Notamacropus eugenii: one gene and its partners. The protein of the gene in region 1 binds, or shares a complex with, the protein of each later gene. Links are inferred from orthologs where the notes say so. Each region holds a gene or a part of one and is shown on either strand. Other genes may lie near its edges.

Region 1 (6,915 bases):
CTCTGGGACTTCTTTTAATCATCCCTTTTGCGTTGTGAGGGCCTGGGCTAAAATTCTGCCTCTGATGTTTACTCCCTGTAGAGCCCTGGGCAAGTCCTTGATCTGAACCTTAGTTTCCTCATCTGTAAAATGAGGGCTTTAGGATTCAACATCCAGAAAGCAAGGGCCAGAAAGGAAGGAATATTGCCATACCCTGACTATGAAAGTAAAGTCCAGAGGTAGTTCACCTACCTTGTGGCTCCAGTATGTTTCTTTAAATCTTTGGCTAGCTGCTGATATTTTGGAACTGCAAGTATTCCGGGTTATTTATCTGGCCTAAGAGTCTCCAATGATACTGCATCTAACTCAAAGTGTTCACGACATCCATTACCACCTCCACAGGACTCTCTCATAGCACATGTTACTGGAAGAATTTTTATTTTCTTATTTGAGACTCAGGGTCATTGCTACTGCAGTTTTTAGTTAACAAAAAGTCTGTTTTAATATTAACCTGAACAAAAGCTGTCCCACAAGATGTAAAACTTTACTTAAGAGATTTAAGAACTCTTTAAAGAAGAAACCAAAGGGAGAATCTCAATTATCCCTGACTCCTTGGTGACATATAAATCCTCCTCAATCAGCCTATTTGTGAACCCTCTAAATATAGTTTAATCTGTAACCTTTCTAATACCTAAGTTTACCTATAGAGTTGTGTTTTTTTAAAACAAGCTCTGCTTCCTTAGTTGATGTATGAATTTATGACTGTTTAACTACATTTGTTCAACTTTTATGACATTGAAAGAAGCATGGGATTATGGACCTACCTTCTCCTTAACTTTTATGACCAAAGAGGATTATACAAGATTACAATATGTAAAAGAATTACTTGTCTATGACTGATGTAATTCTGCCCACGTGAAGCCTTGTCAGAATGCTCATGATGGTTCAGATTTTCTCTGAGATGTGAATACCTCTATATTTTCCACATTGTGGTAATTATATAATTGGCAGCAGTTGCTCACCACCTGAACTCGGAAAGGAGATATTTCTCTCATAACACGTGCATAGACCACCTCCAGGCCTCTCTCCATGGCCAATGTTTTTGGTAAAACTGTGACATTCTGCTGTTGCTATCCCCACTCCTACACACAGGGAAAAGCACACACACAGTCCATCACTTAACACAATTATGTGATATGTAGTAAGTGCTTAATAAATGTTTAAGCACTTGACTTGTTGACAGCACATGTGAGAGCATGTGCATGTGTGCATGTGGGTGCAAACACACACATACACATACACATGCACATGCATGAGCTGTTCAGAACAAGTAATTTAGTGACTTGTTCCCTCCACTGCTCTCTTCCTTCTGACTAGAGACACCTGGAGTGAGCCCATCAGGCTCATAGAAGGACAATTCTTTCTCCTCTGCTCCCTAGAGTTGCTCTTTCAGGTTTTTTCTTTCTGCAGCTCACATTGGGTGAGCTACAGGATATGTGCTCACAATATACTCACAATGCGAGGTTCCAGACAGGTGTTTGAACATTCTTGAGGCTCACATTAGTTGTGGGCACTTAGGACACTTGGCCAGGCCTACTTAAATGTTTGGTCACCAATTCTAAACTTCTTTTAGGTATATTTCCACCTTCTTTGCATATATTTTCCCTTAGCTGTTCTTGATCACTGCACAGGATGCAAATGAGTCAACATCATCCCCACCGTAAAGTACTGCCATTCAGATGAATTTGAGGGAAACTTGCAAAGACTAAATGTCAATTTGGCTTTGGTTCGTTACAAATAGAAGCTTCAAAAAGAAGAGGAGAGTTTGTTTTTTCCGTTTCCTTTGGGCTCCCTTGAATGGTCTGCTCAGAAGATAGCCATGTACACGTTTGTGGTTAGGTTTGGTTTGGTTTTTTTTTTAATGGGGTTTCTAATATCTTTCAGTTTTAGATCAGAACAAACTCCTTAGAACTGCAGCTTAACAGAGGACAAAGAATTACAGTTCTCCTAGGACCCTGTTTTCAGATCTTTGGATTCAGAATAGGAAATTTATAAAGCACTCATATCTTCTCGTTTTCTTCCCCTCCATCCAATTACACACATTAAGAGGCAAAAGAATATAGTGAGAAATTGAACTTCAATAGGTCTTTAGGCTGAATAAAAAAATCCTAGCAGATAGCAGAGTTAAAGGCTGGAAGGAACCATAGTTGGTTACCTAGTCCAACCCCTCTCCTTTTACAGATAAGAAAACTGAGGCCCAGGGAAGTTAAGTAGGTTACCCAAAGTCACAGAGAGAAAGAGCAAGTGTTCAAATTCAGGCCTAAGGCTTTTTTCCATTTCATCCTGCCCCAGGTATCTTTGCTTGGATTATTGTTTCTAATAGAAGCAGATCTGTGCTGAGGGTTCTCATGAATGTGACATGGTATTAGCATTCTCCCTGTCTGACCAATTTCCTGTATTCTCTTGGTTAAATTTGGAGAAATTATCATCTTTTGGAACTGTATTTTACTATTCTGAAGAGAAGGAATTTCATTTGGAAAGTCTCTATCTCTAGATATAGAAATGAAGCAAGGATATTTTGTCTTCTCTCTTGAGATTTCTAGGACATTACTGTGGAGTGTGGTGTGTTTTTTAAAAAAGCATGGCCTGTGGATCATGAACTCCCCCTTAATCATTAAATGGAGCTCATTTGAGAAGTACCAACCTTTCCTGCATCAACACTGCTGCTAAAGATTTACATGGGTCCTCTTATCTTATCTTGTTGAGGTTGGCATTGTGCATTCAGAATGGAAGTCATAAATTACCTGCATGCATTTTCTAAAATTGTGTTTTCCTTATGGGTGCATCTCAGGACAGGGTTTCCTCTCTGCCGCTTAGTAACTGAAAGTAGCCTAAGAAACTCTACAGTTACGGTATTCTGAAGGAGCTGGAGCCTGTGTTGCAAAATAGATAGTGCTACCAAAACCTAAAATAACAGAAGTTATAGCCATGTGAAGTTTCTAAGCTTATTCACAGTCTTTCCTGGGAGCTGTTCATGATCTTTTATGAATTTTTACCAAGTACCTGCTGTGGGATAGGAATTCAAAGGGCAACTGAGATGCTTCTGCTCCTGTGCTGTACCGAGGTGAATGAGGTAGATTTAAGGAATTTATTGGACTTTAATTCTGGAGTCACTCACTGGGTGCTCCATGTGGTCATTTCACCCATCCAGCACGTGGGAGCTGGGCTGGATGAGGAGGCAAGACCATCACTATCTTTGTGACCAGGATCCTCCAGTACCCCAGAAAAGGTCTCTGGATTGGAACCCAGCAAGCCTTCCTTCATTTCCCCAATATGGCAGGAAGTAGAGAAGGTGCTCAGACATAAGCTTCTTAAAACAGGAGAGACTAGGAAATCAGTACTTCAGGCAGGGCATGGTAAGTGAGAACTTTGAATAAAAAAAGGGCCTACTCAGGTCTGAAGGACAGAGGGATATTTTTTACTAGTCACTAATGGCAGGAAGGAAATGGTAGGACTGTCCTTGCTGTTAATCAGTCCTTGGTCAATTCTAATGGTGTCTAGCTACATTCCTAGGCCAAAATTTAACTTTTTTAGAGTTCATCCCCAGGTGTGAGAAAACAATCGGTTTATTAAGAGCTTTCTAAATTTGTGGCAATGAAGGGAAGCCTCAGCACTGTACAGTTTAAGCTTCTCCATGGGAAATAGGAAGAGCAAAGGTATACTTGGCTTAAAGGGTGGTGTGGTGAAGGCATCTGGAGCAGAGGGGTAAGCAGACCACATGTTTTATTCTGGTTAGTCTCCTGTTTGTCAAAAACTCTCATATAACTAGGTTCCCTTGTTGGGAAGGGAGGTGCTAGGGCCTGGGTGGGAGGGGATGGCTTTGTTGTGTGACCACAGAAGCTGTTACGCACTAATTTCCTCTAGGGCTTGTGATGAAGTCAGTAAACCACAGTGTTTAGCAGGCACTGCTCTTACAGTGGTGTCTCGACCATGACACACATTTGACATGCCCTTTCCTAGCCCCCTGACAGACTGGGGTGCTCCTGCTTTGCACCATGGACCAAAGAGAAATCCTACAGAAGTACCTGGACAAGGCCAGAAACAAGAAACTCATTGGGGAAGAGTGTGCTAGCGAGTTTCTGGTGAGTCTGATGCAGACACCTCAGTGTGCATGGGGTCTCTTAGACAAATAATAAAATAGTTCAACTGTCTAAGAACTGTGGTATCAGAGATTTAGAGCTGGAAGAGACTTTAGTGGTAGTCTAGTCTACCTGTGGGGTCCAGGCATTAAAAGAAGGTAGACTCTCAAGAAAGAGCAAGTTAAAAATTTAGCTCCTTTGGGCTGCTTGTATGTTCTTTAGATATCTCCTCTAGGATTCTTGCTTCTCGAATTTTGTGTGCTATTTCTTTGAGCTAAACAGAGGAAATAAACCATTACAAGTCTTGTAAATAATAGTATGACTTGGATAGGCAGAGTTCTCTGGACAGCTAAGCTGAGGCTTATATCTTAGAGTCTCAGAGGTAGTTGATATTAAGGGGTCAGAGGCCAGAACTAATTCCTCTAAGTATCAACACTGATGACTTGGCCACCTCTTTGCTCTTGGAATTCCATCAAAGGCTACTGAACATCAGAAAAATTACCTATAGCAACATTTTCTTCCATGTCCATAAACATTTTATTTTAAAATGACTGAAAATTCATTTGGGTTGACCTAAAAGAACAGCATCTTGTATTTCTTTTGCTTGGGGCAGTTAGGGGTTGGGGTGTCAGGGAAAAGATTGAGGATGGTTATCAGGACCAAATCAGTTCTGTAAACCTAGAGTTGTCAGACAACTCATCTGTGAAAGCTTGTGAATGGTGATTTGATATCTGAGCCCTCTGTCTACTCACTTGATGCTTTGCAAGTAAGGGAATGAGGGAGAGAATCCGTGGTTCGCCAAACCTTTTAGGCTTAGCTCCTCAGTCTGCGAGTTGAGATTCCATCCCACAACCTCAGGAAAACTTGTAGATGCGGTGGTAGCTTAAAGGGAAATGACCTGACTTTGCGGGTCCCTTTGGGATGGAACTGCTGGAGGAAGGAGGCAATGGGGAAGTTTGGGAACATGTGTCTCTTAGACATGTGCTTTCTCACCCTGTGTCTCCTAAGAGGAATAAACTCCCTGACATGAAGGAAAAACTGAGCTCGGAGGCAATGCCACCCCCTGGTTTTAAGGCCTTGTTTTTGGGTGGTGATTAAGTGGAACCCCACTGTTCACTGACTCATCTTCTCCAGTGGAAAAACAGAGCAGCTGGCCTTATCCTGGGCTGTACCATCTGAAGGTAGTAGGCATGAGAAGTGGGGGATAGTGTAGAGGTGCCAAGGGGGAAAGTGGATCATTTCTAAGAAGTGATGTCCTTTCCATAGGGGCACATTCCACCCTTCTCTGTGATATTTATTCTCTCAAGGGTGACTAATTTGATAGTTGTGAACTTTAGTACCTGTAGTGAACTTCAATGTTCATATTGAATGCCTTTCTTTATAACTTCAACACTTAGCGCAGGGCTTGGCACACAGTAAAGACCTGATAATTGCTTGTCTATACAAGTTCGTCTATACAGTTAGGGTTCTCCTTAGAAATTCTTGAACTGGTGGTACAATTGTTTTATTGACCATGTCCTCTAGCCTCCAAACATTCATACATACACACACACACACACACACACACATACACACACTGTCACACACATACACACTCACACATCCAAACATACTCACACTCATACTCAAACATCCATACACATACACACACTCATGCCCATCCATGCAACCTGTGTGCACACACAAACACACACACACATACTTTATCTGTAGCCATTACTGAATCCCACTTCAGCTAATAGCAGAACTAAGTACAACAGAGGACTTAACCTTTGGCAAAGTCTACACTTGGTACAGTCTCTACACAGCTCTTGCTACAGTAGAGAGTGGGGCTGACTGCTCAAGCCATTCCATATGCAACCTTCATTACATCATAGAGAGTATCTAGAGTCAGATGTCTTAGTGGTCAGTTGAGTCAGGAATAGACTAATGACTCTCAAACTTTTGCTGAATACTATTTGTCAGGGCAAGATATCCTAGAGACTATCTTTCTCACCTGTTCAGGCCTGCCACTATCAATAATTCCCCTAAAGCAGGGGTGGGGAATCTACAGCCTCAAGGCCACATGTGGCCCTAGTCTAGGCCCTCAAATTTCACATTATTAAGGGAAGTTCTATGAAGTTTGGATTCGGTCAAAGGGCCACACTTGAGAACCTAGAGGGTCACATGTGGCCTCGAGACCACAGGTTCCCGATCCCTGTCCTAAAGAAACGCCTTTTGGTCCTTTCCACTCTTGTTCCTTGATTTGCCCTTTTATGTTACAGAGAGAAAGGGTCAGTGGAGAGATAGCAAGAGCAGGAGATGGGAATATAGTTGGAGAGGCCCAGAGGAGAGGAACGAAGAATGAGGGACATGTAGCATGTTAGATCAGCATGCCCTGTCTGGTATTGTTCAGAAGTTATCATATAATGGGAAATCTGGGAGCATGTAGAATGACTTTGACAGTCAGTCCTACAGAATTCAAAACAAGTCCTAAACCTCTCATTTCCTGGAATTTCTCCCTTTAAGAACCTGGAGGTAGCTTCCTCACCTTAGTCCAGGGCAGAGAGGATTTGCCTGTGTCATTTCTGTTCTAGGCTAGTGTTGCCACTAGAATGGAAACTTGGCCCAGGGCTTTTACATTCTAACAAGTGAGATTCCATCAGCAAAGCTTGGGTTGTGTCCAAATGTACAGCACAGTACCATCTTTACTGTTTTTTTCCTGTACTAGTTGAGAAACTCAGGTGAAGACTACCGCACTTGGCCATGTAATACTTTCTCAGCATTTCCAGAGATGAATACTAAATTGATATAACAG
Region 2 (7,912 bases), on another chromosome or scaffold:
GTCATACGGAATACTCACAAGAACTGGGAGTGAGGGATTTAAATGACTTTGAGCTTGGATACTGGACTCTCCCCAACTCTCCTTTGAGGGAGAAAGTGTGGCTGGAACCAGCTCGTGGGAATCAGCCTCCAAGGAAGGCAAAGGCTGACCCTTGGCTCTGTGCTAAAGGAACCGAGTCTGGACACCTCTAAACTATGCCTCAATAATGTTTCTTCTTCCTGCGACACACACCAGAGATGAGGTCAAAAAGCTTTTAAGAGATAGGTGCCCCACATCCCTTTCCCCCCCACTACCCCAATTCTCTCCTTAGAGACAGTTTCCTTGCCAAGGAAATTTCCAAGTGTTTCTCTGACTCTGCTATCAGACCCTGGAATTCAGGTACTCTGAGGTGGTCATGGCAATGGTACAAGGCAGTATGCCTCTGGGGGTAGAAGCCACCTTAGTGACCAATCAGGCATAAAGATGACATTCAGCTAGAAAGTTAGGATCTCCCCCCGTTCCCTGCCAAGTTTCCTGGCTCCCCTTACCATCCCAAATCAAAGAGAAAGGAGGAAGATGAAATGTGGGGCTTCTGAACATATGAGTCCCTAGTTAGCCACATCACCCTTCCTGTTCTGCTAGTTACCTTCTGTATCCCTGAACATGAAGAATTCTTACCCAGCACAACCAGGTCTATGGGTAACTCATATGGGCAAAGCTCTCTCCAAGGAAAGCCAAGGACACCAAGTTACCTCAGTAGTTACCACCTCCCTCCAAAAAAAAAAAAAAATCAAAAGCTCTAATCACTCCCCACTCCACACATTAAATTTTAATCATAGCTGACAGGATGGTTGCTTTGAAGATAGAAAGACAAGGTCTGAGTCCCCAAAGCAGCTGAGACTTCAGAGCCCAGGACCCCAATAAGAGGAAGCAAGCCTGGGGGAGGGATGCCCCAGGGCCAGTACCCCACTCTGAGCCATAAACCTGCCAGCTGGGTACTTTCTCCAAACCTCTCTTCTCCAGATGCCTAGATCTGCAGCCCAGCTGAGCACATGTTAAGCCTCTCAGGGCCTGGCTCAGTCTGTCTTGGCTACCGCCTGCTCAAGGAACAGTTTTGGTTTCTATTAGTTGCTCCACCTCTCCCAGTGTCAGGAAGTAATTTAATGTGTGACTATGGCCGAGTCACTTCTGGGCCTCGGTTTCCTCATCTGTAAAATGAGGAACAAGGACTAGACTACCTCTAAATAAACTTGTTTCCAGTTTTAAATTCTATGACCCTAACTTTGGGCAAACCCCTTTTCTTTTCCATGCCTCACTTTGCCCCAAAGTAAAATAAAAGAGATTGGTCTAAATGTTCTCTAGGTTCCTTTTGCCTTAATTCGATGACTCCAATCCTGGATGTCTAACACAGGCCTAGGTGTCCAGGCAGAGTGGGGCGGGGAAGGGGAAAGATGCAATTCACATGTGCAAGACCAGCTCCCTCTAGGTGGTACAGGGGGCTTTGTTTCCAAGGCTGCTCTCCCTGGCTACCCAAGGATGCAATCTGGGGATGGCGGGCTAGAAGGAGCAGTCCCATCCAGAGAGGGTATTTCAACCTCTTCAGTGGGAGTCAAATCGAGGAAACTAATCCTCCGAAATCCTGTCCTGGGTACAAGTAGCCCAAAGTCGGGTGTCTGAGCCTGAGTCCTAAAGCATGGGTTGGGGAACCAGGAGCATTGTGCACAGGCCGGCGTGAGCAGCCCTGTTGTCAGGCTTCAGGCTCCGTCAGCAGGTTGCACGGTTACAGCGTAGAGGGTGGGAATGGGGGTGGGGTGGGGGGGAGAATGGAAGGGGAGGAGAAGATAGAGCTTGGGGCAGTGCTGGCAAACCCCCAGAGACAATGAAATGGCTTCTCTTTCCACACACCCCCACCTTGGTCCAGTCTGACCCCACCCCATGTTGGAAGCTTAATTCCTCCTCCATCAGCCACATGCCCGTCCTGCACAGTCCCACTAAGGGAAGGCTGGCATTATCCTGGGTCCCCGCCCCATCCTTGCCCCTCCAAAGCCGGGACTGAGGCTCCGAGCTCTTGGGTGGAGGAAGATAAAGGGCTGGCGAGGATTTAGTCAGAACCTCTTAAGGAGTGGAGTTTTTTCCAGTCCCCCACGCAGACCCCACTCGAACCCCCCGGTAGGCCCCGGGGCGGTGAGGACCCACCAACTTGGCACTGGGCTCGCCTGCCCCACGGGCCCGGGACCCATCTCGGAGGACGGCTTATTGCCCGGGTCTACACCGTGACAGCAACTCCCGGGAGAATTCAAACCCGTCGGAGCTCGGGTGGGGGAGGGGAGCGGCCGCGGGGAGGGCGGGAGCCGGCCAAGGACCAGTAGGTTCCGGGGCTGGCGATCTCCACCCAGCTCGGGCCGCCGCGGCCAGGGCCCCGAACGCCGGGCACTCACTCACCTCTCTCCGAGCGCTGCGGTCCGATCCACTTAGCCGCCGGCGACATCAGTGGGCTGCGGGACAGTCCATGTGGCCGGGGGCTGGGTGGAGGCGGGGGGCGGGGGGGCGCCCTGGTGGGAGGGGTCCAAAGGAGCGGGGGGAGGGGGGAGGAGAGAAGGAGCGGGAAGAGGGCAGCGAGAGGCTGGGCCGGGGAGCACCGCTCGGCCCGGGTCGGGGAGGGAGGAGGAAACAATGTAGCCGCCGCGGCCCCGGGAGAGTTCCGCTTCCGAACGCCGCCGCCGAGCCTTGAGGTGGGGACGTAGCGCGGGCCGCCTGGGCAGCCCAGACACGCGACGTTTGGCTCTGGAGCGGGGCGGGCCCCGGCGTCCCAGCCCCCCCGGCACCGGCGGCCCGGGCTGGAAGCGGGCTGGACGGAGGAACGGACCCGACGGCTCCCGGCCGGACTGGAGGCCGGCGGCGGCTGCCCCCACCCCGGGAGCGCGGCGGGAGGGGCGGGGCGGGGCGGGGCGGGGAGGGGGGGGAAGACTGGCGGCGCGCGCGCGCGTCCTCTGCTGCGGGGGCCGCCCCCTCCCCAGGCCCTCTCCGGCTCAGCTGGAAGGAAGCTCGCAGGCCTGGCCGGAGGAAGCGGAGCCTGGATCCATCCGCCTGTAGCAGCGCGCCTGCGCCAAATGGGCTGGACCCGCTCGCGGACCGGGCGCGAGCGGGGAGGCTGCGCCACCTACTGGAGGCCACGGGCATCGCATGGGGGTGTGTCCAGGTCCCCGCGTCCCGAGCCTCACATCTTGGCCGCCGACCCAATGGCAGCCGGACGCCTGAAGTCGGGGGTCGCTCATCCCGGCAGGTGGGCGCGGAGTTGGAAGCCCGAGACAGTGACCCGCTCGCCGCCCTTCGCCTGCAAAGTGGTGAGTGGGCACCGGTGGGCGCAGTCCAGACGGCTCCCTCAGAACTCCGGGCCGGCCGGGGGCAGGGCGGGGAGCTCTTCGTCACTTTGTGATCAGTGCGAGCGCACGGCCTGACGGCACCCCGGGACAGGACTGGAATAGCCCGAGGATCAAGGTCTAGAGGTCAAGTGTACATGGTCAGAGCCCTTACTGGTGTAACCGAGTGTGTGTGTGTGTGTGTGTGTGTGTGTGTGTGTGTGTGTGTGTGTGTGAGTGTGTGTGCACGCGCGTGCTCTGTGTGTGTGTGTGTGTGTCTGTGTGTGTGTGCGTGCGCTGTGAGTGTGTGTGTGTGCTGTGTATGTGAGTGTGAGTGTGTGCGTGCTGTGTGTGTGAGAGTGAGTTCGAGTGTGTGTGTGTCTGCTGTGTGCCAGTACCGTGCTAAGCCTGGCAGGGTAAAGGAAGGTAGAAGACAGCTCCTTCTTTCAAGGGACTCACAGGCTTCACTGCCAAACTAAGCGGTCTGTGGTGGGTGGTCCGGTGGAAGGGACACTAGCTTTGTGCCCAAACCAGGAGCAATGAGGAGTTGTTAGAAAGAAGAGAAGCTTCTCCCCAACGATTAGAGCAATTAAGAAGCAAAATGGGCAGCCTTGGGGAGAGGGCAGTTGATTTCCCCTCACTGGGGTGTCTTCAAGCAGAGGCTGGCTGACCATTTGTCCAGTATGTCCTAGAAAAGATTCTCCTTCAGGGGTGAATTTCTCTAGATGACTCCCAAACCTCCACACCCTAAGATTCTCTGGTTCACTTGGGGGAAAGGAGATTCACACACTTGTAACAGACTAGACAGGATAAGTTGGCCATAATCATGGAAGGGATTGTGCAAAGATTGAGGATCCTTAAGAGAGGCTTCTTGCTGAAGGTAGGACTTTAGTTGAGACTTGAAGGAAGCCAGGGGTAGCCACAAAGAACTAGATACCCTGGATCCCTAGAAAGGTCAGAGTGAACAGGAATGGTACAATATGTTTGGAGGAGGATTTATTTACACCCAGTGTAAATAAACTTAAGGGTTCTTGGAGGGATGGGTTCCCTGGCCTTTAATAAGCTGTAGGGTCACCAGACTTTATGGAGAGAAAAGGGGTCTTCTCCTTTCTCCCCCATAGTCTGGAGGAAGGTAGCCCTACCATTTTCTCGACCCACAGTTTAAGAAATGCTGAAGGGGTCAAGAGTGGAAAAAGTTTAAGAAGCCCTGATCTAGAAGACTTTTTCCCTGCCTGCTCTTAAGAAGACATCTTGGGACAGCTAGGTGACCCAGTGGATAGAGCATTGGCCTTGGAGTCAGGAGGACTCAAACTTACCAGCTGTGTGACCCTGGCCAAGTCACTTAACCCCAATTGGCTCAAAAAAAGTTTTAAAATAATGACAGCTTAGAGACTCCAGGAGTCAAGATGGACATCAACCCTGCCCTTCAAACTGTTGTCATAGTAACCATCCTTTTATGTAGATTTGAGGAGTTACTCCCTTTTTCTAAAACCTTTGGCTCTTTGTCACCACAGTCTCCTGTTTCCATCCTACCTTTCTAGACTGATTTTCTCAATATTCTCTTTCACACATTCTCCTTTCTCAACAAACTGATGATTAGCTCTGATTTTGGTCCTGCTGTTTCCTGATTTAGTGCAGGCTAATTGGAACCTCCCTGCCTCTTTCTTCAAGGCTCAGCTCAGGGGCTTCCTCTGCCAGGAGGCCCTTCTGTATTTCCCCTCAACTAAAGGTGATCTCAAACTTCAGATTTTCCTAAAGCACTTGGTCTGAATTTTGCCTTGGTCCCACTCACTTTCTGTTGTTTTCTTTTGGCAGGGTCAGGGTAGGGAGGCAATTGGAGTTAAGTGACTTGCCCAGGGTCACACAGCTAATAAGTGTCAAGTGTCTGAGGCTGGATTTGAACTTGGGTCCTCCTGACTCAACTACCCACTGGGCCACTTAGCTGCCCTGTGCCATTCACATTCTGTCTTTGTGTTATTCTCCTTTACCTACCTGGTGCATTTCATAGATTACAAACTCTGAATTTGTTGGGATCATTTTTCATCTTTATTTTGCCAGCACTGAGCACAGTGCTTTGTACTAGTCAGTGAACAAGTCTTTATTAAGGGTACCCGATGTGCCTGGCACTGTGTTAGGGTGTTGGGGATAGAAAGACAAAGGATGAAACCATCCCTTCTTTCAAGTACCTTCCACATTCTAATTGGAGAGAAAACAAGTATGTGTTTATACATATACAAATCTGTATCTACCTGTATATATAGGATAAATATGAAGATAATCAATGAAAGCAAAGTTAAATAACCATAAAGGCCTTCAAAAACCCCAACAGCAATCCCAACAACAGGTAGTGAGTCTTCTGACATTTCCTTGGTATTCCCAGCAACATCCCAGAATAGGATCTACATCAGGGCTTCTTAGACTTTTCCCACAATCAACCCCTTCAGCATTTCTTAGTCTGTGGGATGAGAATTAGAACCAGGATAGAATCATAGAGCTACAGTTCCAAAGACCCTTAGAAGCACAACTCCTTTACTTACAGCTGGGGAAACTGAGGCTGGGAGATTATGACTTTCCTCAAATTACCCAGGTAGTAAGGAACAGAGCCACAACATTGTGCTGTACCCCACTGAGCCTCAGAGGTCTTTTAATCCTGCATTTTGGAGATGAGGAGTTCCCAAATGAATTGCTCAAGGTCAAGCAGCTCTCTAGTAACCTGGTTATCAGCAGTTGAACTGAAATTTCGATCTTTAAAGTAGAAGTGAAGCAGGAAACTGGACCCCAAGGAATCCTTGCATTTCCTCAGCAAAGGATTCTGAGTAACAGGAGGAAAGAATATTCACCAAAGCCACCTGTCTCCTGGATTCCTTACGGTGGGGTTAGCACTGAGGCCCTGGGATTGATGGGGGAAGACCTAGTCTGAGAGAGACTACCAACCGATATTGGGGGAGGGGAAGGGGAAAAGAAAGGGGTAGAGAGAGGGGGGAGAGGAAAGGAAAAGGGAGGGAGGGGGAGAGAAATGGAGGGAGAAGAGAAGAGTGAAACACTCTAAATACTAGGTGAAAGGAATAGATATGGAAGATGATAGACAAATGTCCTTCAAGAGTACTGAATTCTCATAGAAGAATTATAGCTAATGGTTTCTCCCATTAGCTATAATTCTTTTATGCAACATGACTAATGTGAAAATGTGTTTAATGGGAACGTATGTGTAGAGCCCATATATGATTGCATGCTGTCTTGGGGAGGGAGGGGGAGAAAAATTTTAAACTTATGGAAATGAATGTTGAAAACTGAAAACAAATAAATTAATAAATTTTGGGGGGAAAAAGAGTTCTGAATTCTCCCCTCTCCTGGGCTCCAAACAAAACTAGCCTTGGCCAATCCAGGGAGGGCCCAGCACTGTGCCTAGTTTATATTCCCTGGCTCACTGTCCCTGTCCCTCTTCCACAAAGTAGCCACTGGGCACCCGAGCTGATGCTAATTTGTCAGAAAATAATAATGAGTCAGAGCAGAGTTAGAGGACGGTTTTCAACACTGTGTGACCCTGGGTGAGTCACTTTAACCTTTCTGTGGCTCAGTTTCCCTTTCTGGAAATTGAAGGTAATGCTGCTGCTTTCCTCATGGTGTTGCTATAAAGGAAGTACCATATAAATGTTGGCTATATGAATGTGAACTATTTCTTATCCTCCTGCCTTGTTATAATGGCAGTGCCTTTTCCATCTCTTTTTCGTTTTTTCATTTTCTGTTTGGGGGCTCGTTCATTCTTGACATTTGTCTCCCCAGGGCCAAGCACATGGGAAGTCCTTAATAAAGCCTTGCTGACTGATTTCAGATGTACATGGTGTGTCACACTTTATTTTTCTATTTTTTATTGAAAACTTTTAATGAACAAAAATCCACTCCTCCCTGACAGAAAACAAAGGCAAAACTTTTGTCACAGATGTGCGTAATCAAGCAAAAGAAATTCCTACTTTGTCCAAAAAATAGATGTTGCCATTTGCGACCAGAATCCATTCCCCACTCCCATGCCCTCCAAAGGTGGTAGCTTGGTTGGTCTCCTGAAACGTGGTCGATCGTTGTGGTGTTCACAGTTTTTAGGGCTTTCATGGTTGTCGCTCACTCTGTGTCTCAGTTCATACAGGTCTTTTTTGTACTTTCCAGATTTATTAAGTGCCTACTAATCACCAGGCACCATGCTAAGCACTGGAGAGACAAAGAAAGGTAAAAGACAGTGTCTGCTCTCAAGGACAAATTGGATATTATCGACAGGGAAGGCCCTGGATTAAAGGGAGAGGAGAAGTCTGAAAAGTCTTCCTGTGGAAAGTGGGATTTTTATCTGGTACTTAAAAGAAGCTAGGAGACATAGATTGTTGGGAGATGGAATGTCTTGTTCTGGACCAAAAAGGAGGCCACTGTCACTGGATCTCAGAGAGAGAGAGAGAAAGGGACAGAGAGAGAGAGGAGGAGAGAGAGAGAGAGAGAGAGAGACAAAGGGAGAGAATGAATATGTGTGTGAGTGTGAGAGAGAGAGAGAGAAAAGGAGAGAATGAATATGAGTGTGTGTGTGTGTGTGT
Region 3 (7,934 bases), on another chromosome or scaffold:
ACCCTCACCCTCAGTTTTTCAGATGAGGAAACTGAGGTACAGTGCAGCCTTTTAGCAAGGACAAAGAACCAGTGTCTGAGGCAGGATTTGAATCCAGGTCCTTATAACAAGTCCAGTGCTCTCTCTACTATTCCATAATACCACTCAAACAATGATAAACATTCAAAGTGGGATGGGTTCTCTCCAGAGGGAGGGGGCTTCCCCTTCCCCCAGCAAAGGAGAGATGGCTGATTTGACATCAAGGGGAATTCTTGTTTAGGTCAAGATGGATGAATGGACTCCTGAGGCCTTGCCCAACTCTGAGATTCTGGGGCTCTATTTCTGGTGGACCACAGGTGCAGGGTGAGCCCATGGCATGAACCAGCATCCCCAAAGCTCACATCATCTCAGGCTATTGGATAATAATCCCACTTCCCCAGTCAGACCTCGCCTGCATAGTAGGCTCCATTCTGGGTGTCAAGTCAGCAAGGGTCAGAGGAGGACAAAAGGGGCAGTGAGAGAGGCCTGGAAGCCACGCCATACCAACACTGGGCAGAGGAAGTGGCACGTTCTGAACTGGAGAAGAGAGGGCTTAGGAGGGAGTAGTCATTGTCTTCAGAGAACTGAAGGGCCTCCATGTCAGAGACCAGATCTGCCTGACCCAGTCTGGGGGAAGGTATACAGAAGCAGTTGAACTACCTGCAGAGTGACCCCCTCAGATCTCCTCTGTTTTACCCTATCTATGGCTAGGTTGAATGTTGCTGTTGCCTTGTTGTCTTCTCCATTAGACTGTGAATTCCTTGAGGGCAGGGGCTCTCTTTGGTCTTTTTTTGTATCCCCAGCACTCTGCACAGTACCTCGTACATAGTAGGTGTCCAATAAATGTCTATTGACTGGCTGACACATAGTAGACATTTAAATGATTGATAAGTGACTGGTTGGTGCATAGTGGGTGCTTAAATGCTAATTGACTAGGTGGCGCATAGTAGGCACTTAAATGCTTGATATCGAATTGACTGGTACGTAATAAGAACTTCAATACTTATTGACTGGCTGGCACATAGGAGGCACTTAAATGCTTGATGAGTGACTGACTGGAACACAGTAGGCACTTAAATTTGTTGACTGTATGGCACATAATAGGCAATAAATACTTGTGGACTTGAAGTACAAGGGAAAACTTCTTGATGATGACAGGTCTCCCCAAAATAGAACATGCCATCTCATAAGTAATGAACTCCCCAACATTGCTGGAGGTCTTCTGGCAGAGGCTAGATACTCCCCTGCCTAGGATGCCACAGAGGTGATTCCCATTCAGGCTCCAGATGGACCAGAGGACCTGGCAATGCCTATCTTGGGGGAAAAGGTGTCCTGTCCTCAGCTCCTACAATGCAGTGCAAAGTCAACTGGATTTCAAATCAGAGGCCAAGGTTACACTTTAAACTCTCAGCACTCAGTCTGTGCAGCACTTCACTTTTCTGTGTCTTGGTTGTCTTATCTGTAAAATGAGCAGGCTAGACAGATTGCCTCGGGTCCCCTTCCAGCTCCCAACCTATGAACCGATGACACACATATTGATGTAAAATGTATCACACAGAATCTGATGGTTTGCGTGGCCCTCTACTCATATCATCTCATCTGAGCCTTGAAACAAACCTATGGTGTCATTCAGCCAACCAGCATTATTAAGTGCCTACTGTGCGCCAAGCACCGTGCTAAGCATTATGAGGTAAATGCTCTTATCCCATTGAAAGAGCTGAGGAAACAGGCTCAGAGAGATTGTCACAACTCAGGCCACCAAACTGACGAGCATCGAACTCAGGTCATCCTGACCCCAAAGCCAAAACACTACAGACAGTGGCTCTCCTGTAAAATAAGGATGATTACCAAGGTCCCTTCCACCTTTTGATTCTATGATCCTCACCCTCACCTGTGGAACGAGCCACACACTAATCTTCAGTCAGACCAAAGGCTGAGACTTCGAGTCAGAAAGACCTGAGCTCAAATCCAGCCTCAGACACTTCCCAGCTGTGTGACCCTGGACAAGTCACTGAACCTTGGTTTGCCTCCATTTCCTCAACTATAAAACGGGGGTACTAATAGCACCTCCCTCCAAAGGCTCTTGTGGTAGGTGCTTAATTTTGCTTATTTCCTTCCTTCCTATTGGGCAAAAACCCTGATAATTTCTCTGAGCACAAGTGGCTCTCTGACCTTTCCTACAACATGTATCACATTTGAACCAGAAGCTGCCTGGCAGGCAGGACATCTTCCTCCATATATGGGTCACAGCCCACGAGAAGCCAAGGCCTGTCAGTTGCCAGGGGGCTTTCTCCTCTCAGTACCTGGCCCAAAGAGCCCAGAGGGAATCTAGTGTCCTGGAGAATCTGTTCCACCAAGGGGAGGAGGGAACACTGGTGGGGCGGGTCTGAGAGAGAAAGAGAGAGAGAGAGAGAGAGAGAGAGAGAGAGAGAGAAAGTCCCATGCCACCTGGATGCCCTGGATGCAGGCCAGGAGCAAGCTGAAGACTAAGGTAGGGAACAGAAAATAGAACCAAGCGTTTGACATTTAAGGGGAAAAAATGGCCAGTCCAGACTTTCATACATCCTCAGCCCTCTCTTCACCAAGAGGGATAAACAGAACTCTCACTGTGGCAGAAGCAAGAGGAAGCTGGGGGGAGGGGAAGGTCACTTCCAAGGGGGCCCTTTTCCTTCATTTTCTTCACTTAACAAACGTCAACCAAACACAGCGACATCTATTCAGCTGGAAAACTTGGGGAGGTAGAGGGGAGGTGACAGCCAGACCGTCTGGGGGAAGAGAAAGCCGCTCACTCACCCAAAAAGCATCTTTGAACTGCAGCTGGGTCATGGTGCAGCCTGGTTCTAGCCCAGGTCTCTCTGGAGCCGGCACAGCAGCCTGAAGAGGTCCCAGTCGGGCCTCTGACTCACCCCACTAGCCAAGGGGGGAAGAGATTCACCCCTCCAGTCACTTGAGGTGTTTCTGTCTGCTTCTCTCTCTTTCTCTCTCTCTCTCTCTCTCTCTCTCTCTCTCTGAGCTGTTGATGGAAACCCAATGAGGACTGAAGTTTAAAAAAAGGGGGCTGAACCTGTTTTGATTTTTTTTTTTTTTTTTGGTGAGAAGTCCAGAAGCCACTGAAATAAGGAAGTAGAAGCTGCTCCGTGATGTAAGCCCTGGGCCTGCCCTTGGCTGGACCTGCAGAAGAGCTCCCAGTACCTACAGAATCTCTTTTCAAAGTGATGGTCTCTCAAGCCCAGCCCAGAGGGCAGCCTTCTTCCCTTCAAAGGGAGGGCCAACAGTCAGAAACAGAAAGCAGAAAAGAAGACAGGAACCGGCAGGAAGGGTGTCCTCCCTCCCTCCCCCTGCCGCCAGCCCTAGCCCCCAGGCCTGGGCCTCTGCAGGAACAGTGCTGTCATGACATCTTGACACCATGCCTTCTTTTGCAATGGTGAGCATCCCCACACAGGAAATGTGGCTTCTCAGATGCCCTATGCAAGTAAGTTTCCTTCGAGGGCCCCCAACTGAATCAAGGAAATCATTGTGTTCAACCGCTGTCTCTGCCTTTCTCCACTTGGCTTCAGGGAGGTCCTGGGGCTGAAGGGGCAGACCAGGCCTCTCTTGAGGGCTGCTAGCATCTTCAGTGCATCTCTCACCCACGGACAGCAGCGGGGGCAGAAACAGCCCATCTTGGGGATTCCTTGTGGGGTCACGAAGGAGAAATGGCTCCCATGGAGGAAGGGAAGGCATTTGAGAGAGAGGGGATCGATCACAGGATCACAAGTCTGGGAGGTGTCATTTCCAGGCAGAAGACATATGGTCACCCCTCTCGTTTTATAGACAGGACACTGAGGCCTACAGAGAGGGGAAATAATTTGCCTGAGGCAACACAACTGGTAAACCCAAACCCAGGAATTAGACCCAAACAAGAGCACCAATAACTAGCATTTACACAAAGTTTTAAGGTTTACAAAGCACTTTACCAACATTATGTCATTTTTATCCTTACAACAACCACCCTGGGAAGTAGGTGCCATTATTATTTATTGTTATTCCCATTTTACAGATGAGGAAACTGAGGCACAGAGAAGTTAAGTGATTTACCCAGAATCACACCACTACTAAGTAATTAAGTCTGGATTTGAACTCAGGTCTTCCCCAACTTCAGACTTTCATACTTGTATCCACTGCCCCACCTCAGTGACTCTCAAATACTGCAAAGCCTGTGACCTCTGACCCAGACCATACTGCTTTTCTGAACCTTCAGATTAAAAGCCCTTGGACATCCTGACTTGTCCCTCCCCAGTAAAGCATGACCTCGGAGTCTCACAATATAAACCAGGTTTATACTTCCACTCTCTCCCAAGTAGAAGGTGGAGTGGGGATCCTCAAGGCTGACTAGAGGAGAAAGTGAGATTGGTGACTCTGCATAGCCCTGCCTCACTTAAATCCAGTCCACTTGCATGTCATGGCATCACCTCTGCAATGTCATGGTCATCTTCGAGAACGAAGGACAAACTGCAGCAACTGGGGAGCAACTTCTACTCTTGAACAGAATAACATGACCAGACCCACACTTTAGGAAAATCCCTTTGGCAGCTGATCAGAAGATGGAAGTGGAGCATATTGGAGGCTTGAGGCAGGAAACCAACCAGGTTATTCCAATAGTCCAGAGGAGAGGTGATAAGGGCCTTCACCAGGGTGGTGGCTGTGGGGGTGGAGAGAAGGGGATATTCTGCAGGTGAATGTCAGGGGTGAGTGAGGGGCAAAGCTGGGCAGCCAGAAAGATGCATGTGTTGTTAGAAGCCCTAGGGACGTCTGGAAGAAAAGTGGGTTGGGAGGAAAGATAACAGACTGAGATCTGGTCTCTGGGCTCACTGGTCCTGCGTGACTCATTCTATCCTCGGCTTTCTAAAGGGGCCTGGTCAAGGGCCCCTTGCTCCCTAGCCACCATAAAGAGTGAAGATCCAGCACAATCAACCCCACTGGAGCCACAAGGTCATGGGGGTATGCTGAGGGTTGGGGAAGCAGCTGCTCTGAAGTGATAGTCTCTGAGGGCCACCGCTTTCCCCACCCCCTACCCCCCCGCCCCCCCGCCCCACAGCATGGTCCGAGGTGGGGACATAGCCTGAGAGAGACAAGGCCCAGAATTGGGAGGATACAACAGAAGATATCTTCCCACCATCTGACTGGGGTCGAGCTACAGCTTCTCAGGGGCCCCCACTTTGGAGACCACTTGTAGAGGGAGATTCCAGTGAAGATATTCTCTCTGTTCATGAGCGTATAACTGCTGAGGACCTACAGCCAACATGGGTCAGATGCAGGATTTGAGCCCAGGCCTTCTGAGCTTCAAAGTCAGCCTTCTGTCCCCTGTGCAGCCTTGCCTTTCTATTGAGAGAGGTTATAAACCTTTATAGCCAGTGCTCTTCCTGCCATTCCGCAGACAAGATCATAGCCTTCGAGCCTCCTCAGACTGGGGTCTTTGACACCAAATTCATGTCTACTACTATACCCCACAGTGTGTTCCCAGACATCCAGACTACCCATGGAGCATGGGCACAGGGCATAGGTCTGGCAGCAGATCAGCAGGGAGCCCCTACTGTCCTTCTCCTTTTGTTCCTCCCTCCTGTGACGGTACCATGGTCACCCACCTTTTTTATGTTTCTCCCCCTTTACCTCAGCCCCTCGAATCCCTGATTTCCTTCAAGATACGATCCAAGTGCCACTTTCTCCCTCACCCTGTTCCTGACCCACAGCCCAGTCTCCCCTATTAGAGCGCCAGGCCTAAAGTCAGGAAGACTCATCTTGAATTCAAATCTAGACTCTGACACTTACGGTATGACCCTGGGCAAGTCATTTAACCCTGTCTGCCTCAGTTCCTTCATCTGCAAAATGGGAATCATGACAGCAGCTACCTCCCAGGGTTGTTGTGAGAGTCAAAGAAGATCATGATTGTAAAGTGCTTAGCACAGTACCTGACACATAGTAAGTTCCATATCAGTATTAATTGTGATTATTATCACAAGATGGAGAATCAGGAGAGCAGACAGCAACTTGGACTCCTCAAGTCCAAGGAAGGAACTCAAAAACATCTGGAGAAAAGTGGCAGCAGGGAGTACTGGCGGTTCTCCCTGGATATTTAAGGGAGTCAGAAAGGGGGAGGAGGCTGTTACATCTTGTCCGGTTTGTAAGTGCTGATGAGAAAAGAATTTGGTGAGAGTACAGTCAGGGGGAAAATGGTGTATTGGAAAAAGTGCTGGACTTAGCATGAAAAAGACTTGGATCTGAGATAAGGTTCTGGCATCTATTAGAGGTGAGCGTTTGGCCAAATCATTTTTGCTCCTCTAGCCATAGCATTAACTAGAGGGGGGTGGTCAGGGCTTTGTCTCAGGGCACCTAATACAAAAGGTGTTGACATCCTTGGGCAGCATAGAAACAATAAAGTACTGTGCCCAGCACAGTAAGAAAATTTCTTTAAAATAGGAAACTACCAGATGGCAAGCTGGAGCAATCTCCTCTGTTACCGTGCTGACACACTCCCAGGAATGATCTCATGATGGGGTCCTGAAGAAATCTGTCTCCCCTCTCCAAGGAATGATGTCTTCCTCTCCCCCTCAAATGAGTACATCTCATGTACCTCTTATTCCTGATGCAGAAATTCCTATTATGGCTCGCTCTCTGTCTCTGTCTCTGTCTCTGTCTCTGTCTCTGTCTCTGTCTCTCTTTCTCTTTCTCTTTCTCTTTCTCTGTCTCTGTCTCTGTCTCTGTCTCTGTCTCTGTCTCTCTCTCTCTCTCTCTCTCTCTCTCTCTCTCTCTCTCTGTCTCTCTCTCTCCCTCCCTCCCTCTCTTCCTCCCTCTCTCTCTTTCTTTCCTTACCCCCCTCTTTTTCTTTCCCCCCCAATGAAGGATTTAGATTAGATAACCTCAAAGGTCCTTTCCAGCTCTAATATTCTGTGATTTTGGAAGTGTGAGGGAGGGGCCAGCTGAACGTAGTCCTTGAGAATAAGGACATTTTTATTACTTTATTTAATCCACTTGCACACAGTAGGTGTTTAATGAATGTTTGTTGAATTGGAACTCAAAGGGGTGAGGCAGCTCCAGCAACCACAGTGCTTGGTTGTGGGACTTCTTCCTTTGCATCATCACTAGGGTGGATGTGGGCATTTGTAGTTCTCTGGTCAAGAGCTTGTCTCATGCTATCCCAGAGCTTATATGTGGAGAGAAATAGAATTCAGTAAGTGGTAATGTAAGTAGAACTTGAGAAGACAGAGATGATCAAAATGATAGAGAAAGCGATGGAGATGATAGAGAGATAGAAACTGAAATAGAGATGGAGAGTTGATATGGAGATAGAAACAGAGAAGTGAGACAGATACATGTATGTGTGTTGATAGGTAGGTGGATGGGTAAATACATAGATGAGATAGAGAGATAAATGATAGCTGGATTAATGGGTGGATAGATAGATGATATATAGATAGTTAGGCAAGTAGATGAGTGGATAGGTTGGTAGGTAGGTAAACAAATAAATGGTCAGGCAGACAGATACATAAAAAGATAAACAGACAAACACATAAATAGACGGATAGATAAATAGACAGATAGGAAGAAAGATTTATTGATAGATTGATGGGTAGATAGACAGACAGATAAAGAGATGATTAGATAGTCAGACAGATAGATGGATGGATGGATGAAGGGAGGGTGGGAAGGAGGGAGGGATAGATAGATGATAGATAGATAACATTTGGAGTCCTACAAAGTACTTTCTTCAGAAATACCCTGGGATGTGTAAAGTGAGAAACTGAGCTGATCAGAGTTATGTAACTTGCCTGTGGTTATATAGCCAGTAGGCACCAAAGCCAGGACACAGCTAGATCTCCTGACTCAGTCCAGCAATCTTTCCACATTAGTAGGTTACCTCTCTGGGCACATCCCAAAGA

What was found.
Region 2: the proteins of PTPN22 (region 1) and CSK are in contact, whole or in part, in an NMR structure (PDB 1JEG), measured with the Mus musculus proteins. The link is inferred for Notamacropus eugenii from reciprocal best matches to the Homo sapiens genes PTPN22 and CSK. Residues at the interface, in NP_033005.1 of Mus musculus: Pro614, Pro615, Leu616, Pro617, Glu618, Arg619, Thr620, Glu622, Ser623, Phe624, Ile625, Val626, Val627; in NP_001291690.1 of Mus musculus: Phe20, Thr23, Gln26, Ala40, Val41, Thr42, Lys43, Asp44, Asn46, Trp47, Ile59, Pro61, Asn63, Tyr64.
Region 3: the proteins of PTPN22 (region 1) and PSTPIP1 are in contact, whole or in part, in a crystal structure (PDB 7AAM), measured with the Homo sapiens proteins. The link is inferred for Notamacropus eugenii from reciprocal best matches to the Homo sapiens genes PTPN22 and PSTPIP1. Residues at the interface, in NP_057051.4 of Homo sapiens: Ser793, Lys794, Pro795, Gly797, Pro798, Arg799, Asn800, Pro801, Pro802, Trp805, Asn806; in NP_003969.2 of Homo sapiens: Thr225, Arg228, Asn229, Trp232, Asn236, Ser239, Met240, Cys242, Val243, Asp246.

Annotation. Positions count from the first base shown.
Region 1 is NC_092873.1:292,913,637-292,920,551, reverse strand, and holds the start of PTPN22 (tyrosine-protein phosphatase non-receptor type 22), read left to right. Parts: upstream 1-3,897; 5' UTR 3,898-4,034; coding exon 4,035-4,121; intron 4,122-6,915. UniProt on the Homo sapiens protein: Acts as a negative regulator of T-cell receptor (TCR) signaling by direct dephosphorylation of the Src family kinases LCK and FYN, ITAMs of the TCRz/CD3 complex, as well as ZAP70, VAV, VCP and other key signaling molecules.
Region 2 is NC_092872.1:241,312,086-241,319,997, forward strand, and holds the start of CSK (tyrosine-protein kinase CSK), read right to left. Parts: upstream 3,011-7,912; 5' UTR 2,422-3,010; intron 219-2,421; 5' UTR 19-218; intron 1-18. UniProt on the Homo sapiens protein: Non-receptor tyrosine-protein kinase that plays an important role in the regulation of cell growth, differentiation, migration and immune response.
Region 3 is NC_092872.1:256,746,914-256,754,847, reverse strand, and holds the start of PSTPIP1 (proline-serine-threonine phosphatase-interacting protein 1), read right to left. Parts: upstream 3,011-7,934; 5' UTR 2,845-3,010; coding exon 2,812-2,844; intron 1-2,811. UniProt on the Homo sapiens protein: Involved in regulation of the actin cytoskeleton. May regulate WAS actin-bundling activity. Bridges the interaction between ABL1 and PTPN18 leading to ABL1 dephosphorylation.